Linked DNA regions of Lytechinus pictus. The protein of the gene in region 2 interacts with the protein of the main gene of each other region in a pairwise test. Links are inferred from orthologs where the notes say so. Each region holds a gene or a part of one and is shown on either strand. Other genes may lie near its edges.

What was found.
Region 1: the proteins of harmonin-like (region 2) and pre-mRNA splicing regulator USH1G-like interact in binary tests that used the Homo sapiens proteins (3 or more experiments, as listed by UniProt). The link is inferred for Lytechinus pictus from reciprocal best matches to the Homo sapiens genes USH1C and USH1G.

Annotation. Positions count from the first base shown.
Region 1 is NC_087254.1:24,471,348-24,480,912, reverse strand, and holds the start of pre-mRNA splicing regulator USH1G-like, read right to left. Parts: upstream 3,742-9,565; 5' UTR 3,261-3,741; coding exon 3,097-3,260; intron 1-3,096. UniProt on the Homo sapiens protein: Plays a role in pre-mRNA splicing by regulating the release and transfer of U4/U6.U5 tri-small nuclear ribonucleoprotein (tri-snRNP) complexes from their assembly site in Cajal bodies to nuclear speckles, thereby contributing to the assembly of the pre-catalytic spliceosome on target pre-mRNAs.
Region 2 is NC_087253.1:25,235,446-25,244,810, reverse strand, and holds the start of harmonin-like, read right to left. Parts: upstream 3,486-9,365; 5' UTR 3,244-3,485; coding exon 3,166-3,243; intron 1,986-3,165; coding exon 1,918-1,985; intron 1-1,917. UniProt on the Homo sapiens protein: Anchoring/scaffolding protein that is a part of the functional network formed by USH1C, USH1G, CDH23 and MYO7A that mediates mechanotransduction in cochlear hair cells. Required for normal development and maintenance of cochlear hair cell bundles.

The DNA.
Region 1 (9,565 bases), on a different chromosome or scaffold from region 2:
ATACCATTATTAATCTCGATCATTCACGAATTCGATGGCAATGAGTGTAAAGACTAAAGTTTAACATAAAGCTTATTGGTGGTTACCTATAAAAACAAATAAAAAAACAAAAAACAAATAAAATCGCAATCTCTTACCATGTTCACGTTTCATATAACTATAAAAATATATTATTGACTTTGGTTATCATGATCTACACTTATATAGTGGATGATTATGCATTAACAGATATGAATTTTGTTGTACTTTTAAAAATAAATATATCACGCTGGGTGCTTATTGAACATGCTAAAGCAAATAAAATTCTTATCTTATGTTTTTCTGAAAGAATGAAATAGGGCAAAGAAGTAGAAATAGTTTAAGTTTTCAAAAGCTTATGATATTCCTGCGAAAAATTATTTTGATGTAATACCAATTTTTCTATATGTAACTTTGAAGTATATTGAGAATATACATAAATGCTCTAAATTTTATTGCAGGTTCATGCACGGCTCTATAAACACTCTCTTTTTTAAAACTTTTTATACATATTGTATTAGAGGGGAGCATATAACAATTAAGTTTGTTTTCAAAACGTATCTTGACATATCCATTATGATATAAGAATATAATCTATAGGCCCTAATAATCTTAATAGTATTCTTAGGTAAGTTTGTGATAGCTACAGGTTCTCTTCAAAATATTCACCATCCCTTTTTTTTCCGTTTCATGGTTATTTCAACTATTTCTTTCTTTGTTTCTAATATACGTTTAGATCTAACTGTGATTCAGTATTAATATACCCCTATAAATCACCGCGTATATTTTTAACTAATTCATGACTCGTTTCTCTATTTTTTTCTTCAGTTGAAAATGAGCCTGACAATTTTTTATTAAGAAGTTTAAATTTTACAAGTAATGCTATGTTCTGATGTGGGCTTATTATACATGTATATGAATAAATCGACTCACTTGAATAAATGAAATAAAACAATAAAATAGGTGACACTCACTTTCCACCAGTGATTGTATGCACACATGAGAACTACTTATGTCGTATAACTTTTGAAAAAAAGATTCAACAAAACAAAATGATTGTCCAACCAAAACATTCTCAAAGTCAAACACAATTCTCATAGACGCTATATTTGCATTAAATTCACATGATTTTTTCAATTTGATCATTTTATGGTTTCGGTTAGACATATTTTCACCCGCACGTCCACTGATGGTATATGAAATCGCCACTGTAGTTAAATATTCGCCAAAACGATAACTATAAAAAAAAATTCGGAGAATCCAATATCTTGTTTAGAAACGATTCGATTTTTAACTAATTTGTCCTTTATCTTTTTTTATTGTTGGTGCTCCTAAAAGTATACAGACTATACAGTTTGTATCGATTCTCTGAAATGTTTCCTATAATTTGCTTTGACAAGGCCACTACGAGTGCTTTGCCCCCCGGGGGGGGGGGGGCACTCAGTATATAATGCATAGTGGGTATGTGCCGCGGAGGGGACCCCCATTTTTACACTCAAATTTCCATTCCAAGGCATAGCATTTTTGTCTTATTGAGAAAAAGAACAAAGAAAGCCGCTCCAAAGCATAGCATTTTCTTCTTATCGAGGAAAAAGAAGAAAGAAATCCGCTCCAAAGCTTCACTTATTTTTCGTTACGCCGTTCCGGTCGCATTGATCTGCTACAAGGAGCTGCAATTTGGATGAAAAGCGGCGGCAGAGCGCTGTCCGACCATCGCCTCTGCGCGAGCGCACCCGGCGGAGGCCGCGCTAGCTGCATCATGCACGCATGCCCGTTCCAGCACACGCTGGCGATCCGTTCCAAGGACCCCCGTTCTCACAAACATTTGTAGTTCCGAAGCCCGTTCCGAGGACCCTCCTTTTTACAATAAGCCCGCTCCAAGGCCCCCGTTTTTTGTCTCGCCCGCGGCACACCCCTACCACTTTTTTGGTTGAGTGCCCCCCCCTCCCCCCGGGGCTTTGCCAGATTGGGTTCGTACTTAAATAAATCGCGTCAAAACAACTCATTCATAAGTATAGAATATCAGATATTGAGCCCGTGCAATTTGTTGATGTGGACTGCATCGATTAAAGTACAAACAAAGGAACATGTGTAGAATTCAATTCTCTAAAGCTAGAAGGCAATGTTTGCTGCTTAAAGGGAAAACCTGTGCATTCCCGGCAAAGAAGCATAAAACAGATCATGCAACAGTATAGCACGCTCGCAGGATTCAGCACTTTTCAGACCGGATGGGAGCAAGGGGTGACCACCTAACAATAATTTTTTAAGAACTGGAAAGAGACATAGGATTTTTACAAAGAGGAAGAGAAAGGAAGAAAGAAATAACACTATAAATAAAACCTGTATTATTTAAAACCCCCCACATTTATAGGTCGTTCTCCCCCTATCAAATTTCTATAATAGGCCCATAATTAATTTATCGTGGACTTTCAAAATACTAAATATGATTCAAGGCCAAGTACACGTCATCAGATATTTAAATACAGAATAAAAACTAAACTAGCGTAACATAGGTATTTCATCTAAATCGCATGTAAAGTCAGACAAGACATATCAAGCTTTTTTGTTTTTTAATAAATGAGTCGATGACGTCACACATTATTACTTTTATATTCTATTCAATGGAAGTATCACATGATTTAATGATAAATGAAGGTGTTCTTCAATGAATCACATTGCGTTACAAAAATGATAATTTAGATGTTCGCGGAGCAGTTATATATAACAACATGATTTGTTTTTAATCAGAATCGGGTGTAAAAATTCAGTCAAGCTATGGGATTGACATGTACATAACATATGCACAATTTCTTTAATCTATCAGCCACCCCGGTCAGCCACTCACATTGAAGGATTTCAGTAGTTTTTGTTATTACAAGTTTTATGTAATTTTATGTAATGTGTTACTGATCTAGAACTCCACCATTAGTAATGGTAAAGAGAAAATTTAGGCAAATGATAAGGGTGGCTTGCTCTCCCTCCAGTATTAAACCACTGACCCTTATTTTTCAAAATACGCCAAAAACCCATGCCCCAATTGCCCCCATATATACATACGCATATATTACAAAAACCTACCCTCTGCTAACAATCAACCTAAGTGCATCTATGTGACCATTAGTCGCAGCCCATAATGTTGGGGTCCTCCCGGACTCATCTGTCCGGTTGCAGTCCCGTTTAGTGGCCTCGCGGAGTGGGTCCAGGTGCCCCTCTTTTGCGGCTTCGTGAAACTTCGTCGTCATGGTCTAGAACAATAGTTAATACTTGAAGAGGTTCTCAATTCCTGTTAGATGTGTCCTTGTTCCCGATTCACTTTTCATATGTCAGAAGCAGGACATGGAAGAGTCTAGATTGAGTTTTAAATGAACAAGTCCATTGATAATAACATGTTATTGAGCTCGGTATCGGTAATGATTGTTTAGTAATATATGACTACTGGAGAACGTCAAGTATACTAGAGAATGCCGCATACAATGACGGCAAAAGAATATAACTTGTATCACAAAACAACGGGACTTCGTCTACCAGCCTAATGATTATCGTCCCAGCTCGTATCTATACGCACACTTTACCCAGATTAAATATGAATTTTGCTGAAGTGTGGCCGATCGATGAATCTGAAGTGTACGACAACTGTGGGCGTTGCTCAGGTAGACTTCGCCCCCATCTCAAGTTGAATTAACACTCTTCTATCTTCCGCGCAAGTATATTCCAAAACAGAATATAAATTGACATATATATATATACATCATCTAGAGTTAATCAATTCAAACAGCACTTTGACATGAGAATAGTTCTAGGTTATTTAAAGGGGAAGTTCACCATGACAAAAAGTATATTGTAAAAATAGCAGAAATAATAATAGAACAAAATATTGCCGAAGGTTTGAGAAGAATACATCATGGAATTAAAAAAAATGATTATGCGAGCAGATTTCCAACATATCGTATGGTAAAAAATCAATGAAATGTCAATTAAAAAGAAAAAAATTGAAAATGGGTTTTTACTGTACCTTATAACAATAGTCAAATCATTTCATACCCGGCAGTTTCTAAGACGAAAACAAAAATGAGTCATCACGAACCATTAAAAAATCATCATGCATTTTATATTACATAACATATGGGCAGCTGCTCGTTTATGACGTCACAAATCCAAAACTTAAAATTCTAATATCCTTCTTAATCTGTAATGTATCTTCCTCAAACCTTCTCCAATATTTTTTTCTGCTATTTTTACAACAAACTTTTCATCAGGATAAACTTCCCCTTTAATTGTTGGAAGAATTAATGATTTTGATTTACCGGGATATAGGCGTCTTACAAAGAGTTACAAAGAGTTACGATTGATCCAACTAATCGTCACTCTATGGAAATCCCTCAGTGTCATAATTTTTTCTACAGGAAATGTGCACAATGTCCTTTGTGAACACAGAGAAGCACACTACACTGAATTTTCAAGACAACGATGAATGCATGAATATAAATCATAGCTAGAAGATATTTTGAACAAATATTCATAATAGATGTTGACGTTGCTGGCCGTCCATAGTTGCGATCGATCAGATCAATCGCAACTCTTTGTTAGACGGGGCTCTGGGATTATTTCCCTGTTTGGCATGAAACACCCCCCCCCCCCATTCCGGATTGCAATGGCGTACATGGGGCTAGCAACAAAAGAGAGAGGGGGTAGAGAGGGGGGCAGATGAGATAAGGGGAAGTGTGGGTAGATAAAAGAAGGGGCAAACAAGAAAAATAAAATGTTATATTTTCATGGACGCGATCACTCGTATTTTGGAAATTAATGGAATTTTATTTTTTTGGGCTTATTCTTATGAAATGATTTATACTTAATTTTCCATTTGAAGTGATTTGTAACATAATCACAACTTAATTTCAAGCCAAGAATGAATAATGGTCTAAAATTGAAACTGAATAACCCTATGATCGTACGATGGATCAGTCTACGATTTGTAGGCGGCATTAGGGTTGGCTATGTGCTACGATTGTTTGTGTATATCGTACAATTTCATGTGATGGGCATCGATCGTAGAATGCCAAAGACAAAGCCATGCAGAGGCCGTACGGAGATCGCAATACCACTGTGTTGATCGTAGGAGGATGTCTTTACAATATATACCATGCACTTGCGCCGATCTTACGATGCCCATTCATTGTACGATACCCTTGGAATGACCATACGATGCTCCTACGATGTTTTAGGGCTACGATAATACCATTAACAAAATAACTTCCCCTACGAAGATCTGAATCCGTACAATCACGTAAATATGTACTAACAAAATTATGTGATACTAATAATAAATTCATCGAATTATCGCCAAAATAGTTCGACGTTATATGGGCTTGACGAAGTCCGACTTATACGGAACCTTATAAGTGCCAACCTACGGAAGCTTAAAGGTGCCTCCAGAAGACGAGATGAGAAGATGAGATGACCCATGCCGGCATGTCGACTTGTTTTGGACAAGAAGACAAGATGGCAAGTTAATGAAAGTCGGCATTCCGGCTTGTTTCAGACAAAAATACAAGATGACGAGTTGTTGAAACGCGGCATGCCAGCTTGTTTGTGACAAGAAGACGGGATGACGAGTTGTTGAATCTCAGCATGCCAGCTTGTTTGTGACAAGAATAGATGGCGAGTTGATGAAAGTCGGCATTCCGGCTTGTTTGTGACAAGAAGACAGGATGACGAGTTGTTGAATCTCAGCATGCCGGCTTGTTTGTGACAAGGGGACAAGATGACGAGTTGTTGGAACTCGGCATGCTGACTTGTTTGTGACAAGAAGACAAGATGACGAGTTGTTGAAACGCGGCATGTCTGCTTGATTTGTGACAAGAAGACAAGATGACGAGTTGTTGAATCTCATCATGCCGGCTTGTTTGTGACAAGAATACAAGGTGGCGAGTTGATGAAAGTCGGCATGCCGGCTTGTTTGTGACAAGAGGACAAGATGACGAGTTGTTGGAACGCGGCATGCCGGCTTGTTTGTGACAAGAGGACAAGATGACGAGTTGTTGGAACTCGGCATGCCAGCTTGTTTGTGACAAGAATACAAGATGGCGAGTTGTTGGAACTCAGCATGCTGACTTGTTTTTGATAAGAAGACGGGATGACGAAATATTGGAACTCGGCATGCTGGCTTGTTTGAGACAAGAAGACAAGATGACGAGTTGTTGAAACGCGGCATGCCAGCTTGTTTGTGACAAGAGGACAAGATGACGAGTTGTTGGAACTCGGCATGCCAGCATGTTTGTGACAAGAATACAAGATGGCGAGTTGTTGGAACTCAGCATGCTGACTTGTTTGTGACAAGAGGACAAGATGACGAGTTGATGAAAGTCGGCATGCCGGCTTGTTTGTGACAAGAAGACAAGATGACGAGTTTTTGGAACGCGGCGTGCCGGCTTGTTTGTGACAAGATGACGAGTTGTTGGAACTCGGCATGCTGGCTTGTTTGTACGGAAGCTTAAAAGTGCCCCCAGAAGACGAGATGACGAGTTGTTGAAACTCGGCATGCCGGCTTGTTTGTGACAAGAAGACGGGATGACGAAATGTCGGAAATCGGCATGACGGCTTGTTTGTGACAAGAAGACATGATGGCGAGTTGATGAAACTCGGCTTGCCGGCTTGTTTGTGACAAGAAGACAGGATAACGAAATGTTGGGACTCGGCATGCCGGCTTGTTTAGGTAAGAAGACAAGATTATTAAAGCGGGTGTACATTGTTCTATATAAACAACTCTTCACTTATGTCAGTTATTTATGCATAACAATGATTCATGCTTCATCGATGTAAATGATAACGAATCATTTTCCTTTTTTCTTTAAATAACAACAATGTATATTTCTTTATTACTAGATAAGTACACTTCACTTTTCAATTATTTATAAATATTGCCAATTTGTACTTTGATTTATTGATAATTACAATTCACTATTAGATTATATTTGATATAATACTTATTTAAGAGCCAAAAAATTTCCCGGTCATAATCATGGAACAGGTAATGGCGTCATGAGGCAAAAATTTTGAGGGGGCGATATGATGTATCGGGGGAAAAAAATGCGAGCGAGCGAAGCGAGCGAGCAAAAATGTTGACATTTTTATTACAAAAATCAAATTTTGTGATACATTTTGACATTATGTTAAAAAGATTATATAATATTTCACCCTTCTCTCTTTTTTTGTACGCCACGGTGAACAGGATTTTTGTTATGATTGTGCGCATCAGGGCGAAGCTCTATGTGCTCAAGGGGGCCCAGTATGGCTCGTGTGGCAAGAAGTAGCTTAATATAAGTCCCTAGCGAGCAAAGCGAGCAAGATAAAAAATCACCTTTTCATGAGAATCTAACATGAAGACAGATTTTGACGTGATATTCAGAAAAATATAGTACACTTTTCGTTTGCTTTTCTTTCTTTCCTCTTTTCTTATTTGTTTGGTTGGAGAACTTTTGGGGGCCATGGTCCAAACTCATCTATACAACAGTGCTGTGTGGGTGGGATCCGGGGCGGAGCCCCGGAACTTCTTGATATTAAAGCCATTTTAAACCTTACAGATGGCCACTAATTTTAATCAAATATAGCTTTTACACAACACATAAATTCAATGCAGTTGTGTACCGCAATCATCCAAATATTTTGATGGGGCACACCTTAGCAAATGTGGGAAAATTTGTAAAATGTCGCCAGCGAGCAAAGCGGGCCAGAAAGAAAATGGCCTTTTGAAATGAAATTATAATTATGTGATAGATTTTTACATCATAGCAAATATGTCAATTATAATTTTTTTTCATTCATCTCAATTGGCTGCCTCCTTTATTTTTTTTAATTTCCTCTTGGCTGTGGAACCACCCCCCCCCCGGTACGCCACTGCTTCAACGTAAAGCTTAATGCAGGAAGGGTCCATACAGGGGCCCGTTATAGAGCCCTTTAAATGTTACAGATGAAGAGCCCCCACTGCACGGGGTCTTGGACAGAGCCCCCGGTAGCTTTGGAGATTTAGCAAGTTTATGATCGACTTTCATACAACAAAAATACCATCCATCTTTCTGCCCGCTCGTTATCTTCGATCCTCGGCAGCCCGGTAGTGTTATCTTGTCCCTTTCTTTATTTTCCAATAAGATTTTGTCTCATTCCATTCGACCTTCATTTCCCGATTTTGTTTGCCTTTTTGTCATCTTTAATTTATTTCCGTCTTACTAATCATGCTAATGTATTTGTATATCGGGGAGAATTGTTCTTTCTCACATTTTCTTCTTTCCTTCCTTTTCCCGTTTTACCTTTTTATTTTTTTTTATTAGTTTTCTATTCCCTTTCCTTTTCCCCCTTTTTTCTCTTCTCTTTTTTTCATTTCCTTTCCCTTTCCATTTCTTTCTTTCTCCCCCTTTTTTCCTTTTCCCGGTTTTTTATTTTTCCGGTGAACTACGCCAGGGGGGCAGCTTGCACCCCCCCCCCCCACTGGACAAAAATACATGAAATTTTCACTTAGCTCGCAATATTTAATTGTTTGAATATTTATCGCCTTCAAGGGTAACTGCAAACAGTCCTTATAACAGGTCCCTTTTCGATCTGGCCAGAACATACATTAACAATTTTTGATCGCGCTCGCAGTTACATAAGCATCTTGTTCAGGATGATTAACATTGCACAAAATGTTCAATTTCAAGGACAAAATACATGAAATATAAAAAAAAAATTAGCTCGCGCTTCTCGGTCGCACTATTTGATTATATTTATATGTTCTTTTACAACAATAAAGCTAAGAAGGGTGTGAAGGTGTGTTTGTGGGGGGAGGGGTGCCCTTGCATGTGTAAATGGAAAACTCAATTGTGCCTCCTCAACCCTTGAGATTTCAGCCCATTTCAGCACCCCCACTGAAAAAAAATCGTTCTCAGGGCAATGGTAACAGTATAATATTCCCGCACTCCCTAGGGTTGCTCGGGAATATTAAGATACAAGATGGTTATGAAATCTGACAACTCCCATATTGAAAGCGGTCAACTAGCGATGCCTAAGTTTGCGTGTAACAAATAATATTTAATAAATTAGTCGAGAGGAACGCGAGATAATGTCCAATGTAACCAAATATTCAAGTTTCTGATTAGATGCTACATGTTTAGTGGCATTTATATTATAAGGAAAACTGTTACTCTGGTAACAATATAAACATTGTCCCAGAAAACAAAGCTTATACAAGATTCAGGTGGAGGGCTCCGTTGTAAAACAGTTTTTATAACCGAACCGGACTACCCTCCCCCTTATTCGAGTTATCATTTATAATAAATAAAACACGAAAAAATAAATGCTTAAAACTAAGAATAAATAGTAATAGTCGAACGACTTTTGCGAAAAAGTCTTGCTTTGATTAAATTGGTAAAATGACTGGTTTTGTGTATAATATCAGATAATTCCATACGAAAGTTTTATACGGAACTCAATATGGTCATGATGTAAGCTGACCGATTTACTTTATGATATAGGCCTAAAACAACACGACAAAACAAATAGTGCGGATTACGGTTGT
Region 2 (9,365 bases):
CCGTTAAATTACGAGAACTTTTTTAAGCTGAAAAATACCCATTAATTATTCCTGCATTCACACCGCCCTGAAACATACCCTTCGGGATAAGTTCCTGAAGTTACGAGCATGCGCAGTATGGTCTGATAAGCAGCAAGGCGCGAAATTCAAAATCACTAGCCCAGCAGCAACCCATGCACGGCGCCGCACCTAACGACACGCTGGGCTAAAAGTTCCCGTAATTTGCTTTCAGACCGCCAAAATACCCACGACCTTGGAAAAATCCCCGCGAAAGTTCTCGTAATTTCGCCAAGTACCTACTATTTATCGGGTATTTTCTTTCGGGGATATTACGCGTAGTTTGCTTTCACACCGCCAAAATACCTGGTATTTTCTGATCGGGGTAAATTTCCCGATCAGAGAATACCTGGAACTGGCGAACTTCGAGGCGGTCTGAAACCACCTAGAGTAAGATAGTGTAACGTATAAGATAATATAAAGATAAGATAAGACAAGACAAGATAAGTTAGGTTAGATAAGATAGATAAGATAAGATCAGATAAGACAAGGCAAGAAAAGTTAGATGATATAAGAAGAAAAAAATATGCGACAAAATAAGATAAGATAAGGTTGAATAAGATAAAATCAGACTAGATAAGGCGATCAAAGTGTCGACTGAGCAAAAATGTTGTTAAAGGCTCACAAGCAGTCAAAACTTATTTCGTTTTTGTTCCAAATCATATTACTTTGTTAAGGCATGGTTAACGAAGCTGAATTTTGTACATTCTGAAAACGAGTCATAAATGCTCAATGGAATTAATGAGATGTCATTTCATATATTCCGTATTGTTCTCTTAATAAGCATGTCCTTTCTCCACAATGACCTCCACAAACGGCTCACTTTAGATGAATGTTCCCTTTTAGATGACGACGTTAAACAGATTTTAGAAAAGCAATTACGAGAGAGAACAGACGCACTTCAAACTTTGCACATTGAACTTTTATATCTGAAATACATTATCCCATAATAATTATTGTGTTTTTAGCACGACTGCTTTTCGGCTTGAAGCTATCATCGACGATATAAACTGCCTGAATCCTAATAGATTCATCTTTCACCAACCTTACTTTAAATTCCTTTTCTCGACAGTTGGTGATCATCTTAGATTTAGCATGACATTTGTGACGATATCGTGATATTTATTTATTTGTTTTGTTTTATATAGAACTATGGTAATATGAACGACATAGACCCTATATTCTCCCCATATGGCGAGAAAACGATAACTCCTTTTACCGACGAACCTGTTTGAGAGGCCCGTTTCATAAAACTTAATTCATAACAATTATTTGCAGTAATATTTTTAGCTACTCAAATCATTCAATGTGATTGGCAAACTTGTTAGCCTATAGCAATTTTGCATTTGTTATGATAATAAGTCTTAATCAAATGGGCCCCAGACCCCCGATCAAAGTATACCTCTTTTCCAAATTAAATTCGAAATAGTCGCTTTCAAAGATTCAAAAAAAGGGAAATTAATTTTTTGATCTTAAAACATTTTTTATTGATTTATTGATTTGTTTTGTAGGGGGGGGGGGGGGTAGTCAACTGTTTGTGAAGTCGTGAGATTGAGGGACCAGTAAGGAGAAAAAGGGGGTGAACCAAGGCAGCGAGGGGTGCAAGAACATGGTCTTAGGCAACGGGGGCGGCGGGGGTAGCTGCCCCCAGAAGTTTTGAAAATCTACATTTTTTTACTTCAAACTTTCGCAAAATCCACCAAAACTGTGTACAAAATCCTTAATTTTTCACCTTTAAAAATGCAAAGCGCCCCAATAAATAGCTTGGTCGCTTCGTTCCTTCGCTTTCGAGTTTCTTCGAAAAATTGTACGCGTCCTGCCCCTCCCGGAACAATTTCAGTGGCCTTTAAAAATACTTACTGCTTGTATTTTTTTAGTTGTGAGTAAAGCTGGGCCTGGTCTTTCTCGTACTCAAGAGTAGCCCTCACCTGGGTGGATAGAGAGAGATGGATTGAAAACATAATTAAACCACTGACATAAAACAAATTTATGTTCAAACAAAGAAAAAGTATCACGATTCAATTAATTATAAAGTAGTAGTAGAAGTAGTAGTAGTAGCAGTAGTAGTAGTAGTAGTAGTAGTAGTAGTAGTACTAGTAGTACTAGTAGTAGTATAGTAGTAGTAGTAGTAGTAGTAGTAGTAGTAGTAGTAGTAGTAGTAGTAGTAGTAGTAGTAGTAATAGTAAAAAATGACATTATTTGAACAGATAAAGTAAAATCGGACAAACAAAGCACTGAAAATAATCAAAATCGTCTAAGGAATGACATTTTTAAAGTACTTTCAGGCCAACGTGCTCCGCTTATCATCAAATTTACATTACCTTCGCTTAGAAGTACAATGACAAACAATGCGAAAGTATATTTGTATTTAGGATAATACTAATCGAATTAATAACAAATTAGTGATGACTCATCACTAATTTGTTATTAATTCGATTAGTATTATCCTAAATACTGATGAGCTGTCTAAACTTAAAGGAGAACTATATTGATTATGAATGTGGTCTTATTATATGTCAATGGAAAGGTAATGATGTGGGGATTATCAGTGGGTCATTCAAAAATAACGAAAATAATACATAAGGTGAAAATCGCCGATTAAAAAACGCTCAAAATGCCTCTCCGAAATATGCCTCGCATCGGTCTCTGAATTGACTTGAATTTGATGACGTCACTTTCTGTACGAGATGCGTGATTGGCTCTCCCACGTGAAGCTCCACTTGCATGCAAAACCTGTTGCGAGGGTACGGTTTCTCCACACTGTCACTGAATACTTCGATCACGAAATGAAAGAAAACCCAGAATTTTATCTAGATTTGGATTTTCAAATTGATGATTTTGAAGATGAAGAGAATGATGATGAAATGAACAACAAAGTGACGTAGTTGGAGGTAAATTGGGGGAATTACGCCGATGATGATGAGTCGGACAATTCAACTTGCAACATGATCACATGCCGATTCGCTACCTAACTCATGCAGCTGCTAAGTGCTAGCTACACCGCGCGGGCCAAATTGAATTCATGAAAATGAATTACCACACTGTCCAGACAGAGTCTCTTACCTCTGTGACTATGAAGAAGGAAAATAATGATAAAACTGTACTTACAAACAAGTGAATGTAATCCGAACCTGAAGGCAACTCAACGAATAGCAGCAGACGATATGCACCGACGATAAACTTCATGTGGCTGGGATAGATTGTCACTAGATGTAATTTTTATCTCATTAATTTGACAAAATTACGAAACTCGGGGAATTATTTATCTATATAAAAATATAGTAACATCTCGTATTATTTTTTAAATTACGATAAAACCTTTTAAAAGCTCGTATATGTGATCGTATTCAAAATCACAAACATGCCGTATTGCTTGCTCGCCGTGGCTGAGAGAGTAGATCTATGCACGTGTTGCACAGCTCTCAATCAAGCTACGCATGTTGGGGATCTTTTACATCTAATTTTAATTTACCTCAATGTTTTCCTTCAAAAAACGTTTTATCGTAATTTAAAAATTATACGAGATGTTACTATATTTTTATATAGATAAATAATTCCCCGAGTTTCGTAATTTTGTCAAATTAATGAGATAAAAATTACATCTAACAGAACGAGTGACAATCTATCCCAGCCACATGAATTTTATCATCGGTGCATATCGTCTGCTGCTATTCGTTGAGTTGATTTGCCTTCAGGTTCGGATTACATTCACTTATTTGTAAGTACAGTTTTAATCATTATTTTCCTTCTTCATAGTCACAGAAGTAAGAGACTCTGTCTGGACAGTGTGGCAAGTCATTTTCGTGAATTCAATTTGGCACGCGCGGTGTAGCTAGCACTTAGCAGCTGCATGAGTTGGTAGCGAATCGGCATGTGATCGTGTTGCAAGTTGAATTGTCCGACTCCTCATCATCGATTCCCCCAATTTACCCCCAACTACGTCACTTTGTTGTTCACTTCATCATCATTCTCTTCATCTTCAAAATCATCAATTTGAAAATCCAAATCTAGATAAAATTCTGGGTTTTCTTTCATTTCGTGATCGAAGTATTCAGTGACAATGTGGAGAAAACGTACCCTCGCAACAGGTTTTGCATGCAAGTGGAGCTTCACGTGGGAGAGCCAAACACGCCTCTCGTACAGAAAGTGACGTCATAAAAAATCCCCAATTTCGCGGACGTAATTCTGCGTGTTTGAAGCATTTAGAGAGAGAACTTTAAACTATCAATTAACTGAGTTCCATCGGTCTCTATGATAAATGATGTACACCATCGTGTTCTCCTTATTTTCTCCTTTGATTTGATATATGATTCTCCATTTTTACGATTTTCAATATATTTCTCCTTTAAAAGTCATGTCACGCTGTTCAGTTTACAGTCATTTTCAATTATATAATGTACAGCCGGGGGAAGGATTCCAGAATGGCGTTTTTTTTTACAAAGAACCCCCCCCCCCTGAAAATCATGCAAAAACACTGGACCCCACTGGCTTCAAGGAGAGGGGTATTAGAGTAATAACCCCTTATTTTTTTTATATTTTGCTTGTCAAAATAACATCGGACGGGAAGTTCGCATTATGGAGACCTATATTGAAATCTTTGAAGAAAAAATAGGCCTCTGTTTAGGCCCCTCCCTGTAAGAAAAAATGAATCCGCCAGTTTTGGTATACAATTTTGTTTTAGCAACAATGGTTAACCATTAAAAAAATGATAAATATGCCATAAATGGTACACTGTAAAAACTGAGGTGTTAAAACTGACACCAGTTGGTGTTAATAGAGGACCACACCCTGAGGTGTTAAAATTACACCCTAGGGATTGAACATAACACCAAAGGGTGTTGATGTGACAACCAAAGGTGTTGTAACACTGTCAATTTAACACCGGTGAAAAATAACTGGTATGGTCCTCTATGTACACCGGTTAACACGACAGTCTTTGTTGTGTATGTTAGACCAAGCCAGCTGTAGAAGTTGGAGCAGAAATAAGAATGTGCATGAATAAGACCAGACGGATATCATAAAGACTTTGTACAGCATGTTTTTTTTTATCATGGACGTTGTCTTTCCTGAATCCTTTTTCTTATATAATATCCAGTTCAATTCATTATTTCATTGCCATTCAAACACAATACAGGGTAATATAAATCAGATGCAAACTAACAATTGACATTTTAAAGAAAAGCAGTATAAAATAGAACTGATGGAAAGGAAATGGAAATGTTACAATTATATTCTTGACGTTATTTTTATCAAACAAACTTGCACGTTCCCTAGCTCTTATGTAATTTAATATTTATTTGATAACTGAGTGATCTTTTATGTTTATATGAATAACATTATATGAATAACACTATGGGCTATAAAAAAATCAATAAAAACACAGCAACCGTTGTCGCCATAATTGAGTCAAAATTCCACAAAAAATATTGATCGGAAAATGACGAGTTTTACCATTACAAGCCTACTTTGTTTCTCGTGTCTCAAATGCAAATGCCTCTAATGAAATATAATAAAAGTATATGGAAAGAGGCCTATATATCACTAAAACCTCATGATGAAAGCATCAATTTGAATTAAATCACACCTTACTTATTTCATTTTCTTTGTTTTATATTTTTCAGATACTTTTTGCTAATTAGAGCATGACGGCCCATAAAAGTGCATACCATGAAAAAAAAAATTGTACGAAATAAGAAAGCTAGTGTTTGAAAATATAACCAACCACCAGGGGCGGATCTAGAATTTTTGAAAAGGGGGGCTTTTTTATATAGAAAAAAAAAACCTGCCCCAAGAAGGTCTTCATTTCCTAATTATGGTGATTTATGTCACGAAAAATTTGACAAGCAAAACGCAGTCCTCACTTGACTTGCGCATGCACGTTTTGCACTAACAAATATATTTATGGTTCTCAAAAGGGGGCACGGGACATGCACTAATTATAAAATCATTCATTGTTGAATATAAATGAACATTTTCAATTTTCAATCGAAATTTTGTTTATGCGTCATGAGACGAGATTGCTAAAACAACGTACATGATTTGGTATCAAACTTCTACATAAATTTAGTATCAATCCAAAGCATGATTACTAAAATTATTTTTTCCAGTAAAAGAATGAATAATATGCTTATTTTTTAACAAACCGTATTTGAAGTTTCTTACCCTATTATTGAAGTCCTGAGTCACTGCGTGGTCCATTGTAAAATTATCTATATTCCGAATTGTTCTCTTTTGTGAATACAACAGCTTTACGTTTCCGAATGAATTGATCTGAATGAGAACAATGTCTCCCGTGTAAATACGGCTATTGATATCATACAACTCAAACGGTCGGTGATATATTGCATTTAACTGACGTGGAATGATATTTGTAGATTTCTGGCACAGGTGTCCCCCCTACCGGAGAGTTCAAAGTGCGAAGTCCTTTTTGTTGGGCGTACGAGGAGAATTATGATTCTGCACATGTCGCTCCTCTTATAACCATCAACATAGCTCTCTCGAAATAATGCGTGCGCTTTCATCTTTCTAAGGCTAATCTTTAGGGAACCCTGCCAGCTGTTTGATTTTGTCATGGAGACGTAATATTATAACTAATGTCAGGGGGGAAATAAATGATGATAATAGGTAAAGAGTCAAGTTATGATAGAATGATGAAAGGGAGGGACATCATTTTTGTCCTTAAAAGAGGGGGAGGGCAAGTGGATGGCAAATAAACTGTTGGGGAAAAGGGTGGATGTTCATGTTTCTTAATTCACTATTTCTTTAGACAATTTGGGGGAGTCAAATGCCCACAATGTCCCCCTCCCCCTACAAGGGGGGGGGGGCGTCAATAAATAAACTCTACAGTATATTTGTTTCACAGTGTGAACAAGTGTTTAAAATCTTAAGCAAGTCGGAGTTTAATTTTTAAAGGTCAAGTTCGCCTCCCAAAAAAATTTAATCTGAATCAAAAAAGAAAAATCAAACAAGCATAACGCTAAAAATTTCATCAAATTCGGATGTAAAATGAGAAAGTTATGGCATTTTATGCACAACCTTACTCAAGGATATGCAAATGAGAGACTGAGTCAATGATGTCCTTGAGTCCTTCCCGGTTTATTTCCAGATCGTCTAATGCCAATTCGTCCAATTGCCAAGTCGTTTACTATCAGTAATCCCACTTACAACATGGTTTACTTTCATTAAGTCTATAATGTCATGCCGCCTAATAACCAGTTGGTCCAATAGCCATTTAGTCTATATATCATTTGGTCTAATTGGACTAAGTGTTAAATTGTGCAAAATGAATGAAAATGAAATGGATATTAGACCGACTGCATGGTTATGAGACGAAATGGTGATTAGACGAAGTGATGATTAGACCAAATGGTTGTTAGACGACGTGTTGATGAACGGAATGCCATTAGACTAAATGAAAGTTGACCATGTGGTGAATGGACGAGTTGACAGTAATAACGAATTGGCAATTTACCATCCCTCACCCCCACTCATTATTTCTTTTGTTTTGTATTGTTTGAATTATACAATATTTCTATTTTGGCAGATTTGACAATAAGGACCTACTTGACTTAAGACAATGACAATTCATCATGTTCAGAGAGGAATAACAATTTGTAATACTGGACAAGGAGGAGAAACTTAGAATATTTCACATTTCATATAGGCCTATAGTAAAAATGACGTCAACTCATGAAATTAGATTGGCAATGTGAATGTGTGCACCGATAATCAGTTGCCTGGCCAGAATACTCCCTAGGCAGTGGAGATGGTGCATTTTATATGTGGGACAGTGTTGGATCCTATGACCGGGTTTATAATAATTACAATGTAAAGCGCTTAGAAACCAACGTATGAAGCGCTATTAAGTAAGTAGGCCTATTATTCACGATTAATCTTTAAAAAAAAGTTACACAACTGCTGCAAAGTTCTTGTAGCAAACAGCCTTTTACAGAAAGGAATTCAAAGGTCTAGAAAATATGGGATATTTAGCATGTTTAGGGTAAATGTGTAATCTGACCCGAAATCTATCCCTATCTAAGTGAAGTAGGCAAGGAGGGACGCTCGTATATTTTGCTGGGGAAGGGATGGGGCAGTTGCGATTTGGCCATTCTCATCATAATGATGGCGCTGTTCTTCTCATGAAAATAATAACGATCAAGCTTTTGAGTTTATAAATCATCACAAATTTCCCTTAAAGGGATAGTCCAGGCTGGAAATATTTATATCTCAATAAATTGAGTAAAATTCACAAAGCAAATTCTAAAAATTTGATCAAAATTAACAAATACCGAAGTTATTGAATTTTAAAGATTTGCATTATTCCGGTGAAACAGTTCTAGGCATGTCTTCATGAATATTCATTAGGTGGATTGATGTTGTCATATCCCCACTTGTTCTTTTGTATTTTATTATATGAAATTAGGTTTATTCAAAACTTTTCTACCAAGAACTGAAACAATAGGATTGACAACTGATCTATAGTGCATTAGTTATTTATTGCCGCAACTTATTTCATCATAATGGAGACACATCATTTACACATGCATGAAAAAAATGAAACAATTCTGATTTCATGTAATAACATAAGAAAAAAGGAAAGTGGGGATATGTCATCATCAGCCCACCTAATGAATATTCAGGACGATGTGCTCATAACTGTTTTCACAAAATATTGATAAATTGAAAAATCCAATAAATTCGTTATTTGTTATCCGATTTTGATGAAAATTTTCAGCATTTTGCTTTTTGAATTTTTACTATATTTATATAAATATTTTCAGCCCGGACCATCCCTTTAAACCAAATTAATTATCTTTCTTTTATAAAATATTATACTTTCTGATCGAGATTTCAATCGTTCATGAATTCTGATTTCTTTTTTGTCTTGATTATCTAATTCATTTCTTTTTTGTCTTGATAATCTAATTCATTATTCAGTTGGGGCAATGTCGCTGAATTTCGGATGATTTAAAAAAGATTATGCTCTAATTCCTCTTATCTGGTTTTCACCTTTTGTCTCAGTCTTAATTACTTAGAAAAAAAAAAACATCGGGGCGGTCGTGGCCACCTTAGTTTACAAAAAAGTGCAACTCTGTCACTCCAATCCTTTTCTATTCTTTTCCTTTGTAATTTTTGTTTATGATTTTTTTTTATACCCATGTACTATTCTTGCCGCTCAGGAGTATTCTACAGAGCGGAGTGAATGACCCGTGACCGACATTATGCAGTATTTTTATGACATATTTTAAAGGACAAGCCACCCCAACAAAACGATGATTTGAATAGAAAGAGAAAAATCAAACAAGAAT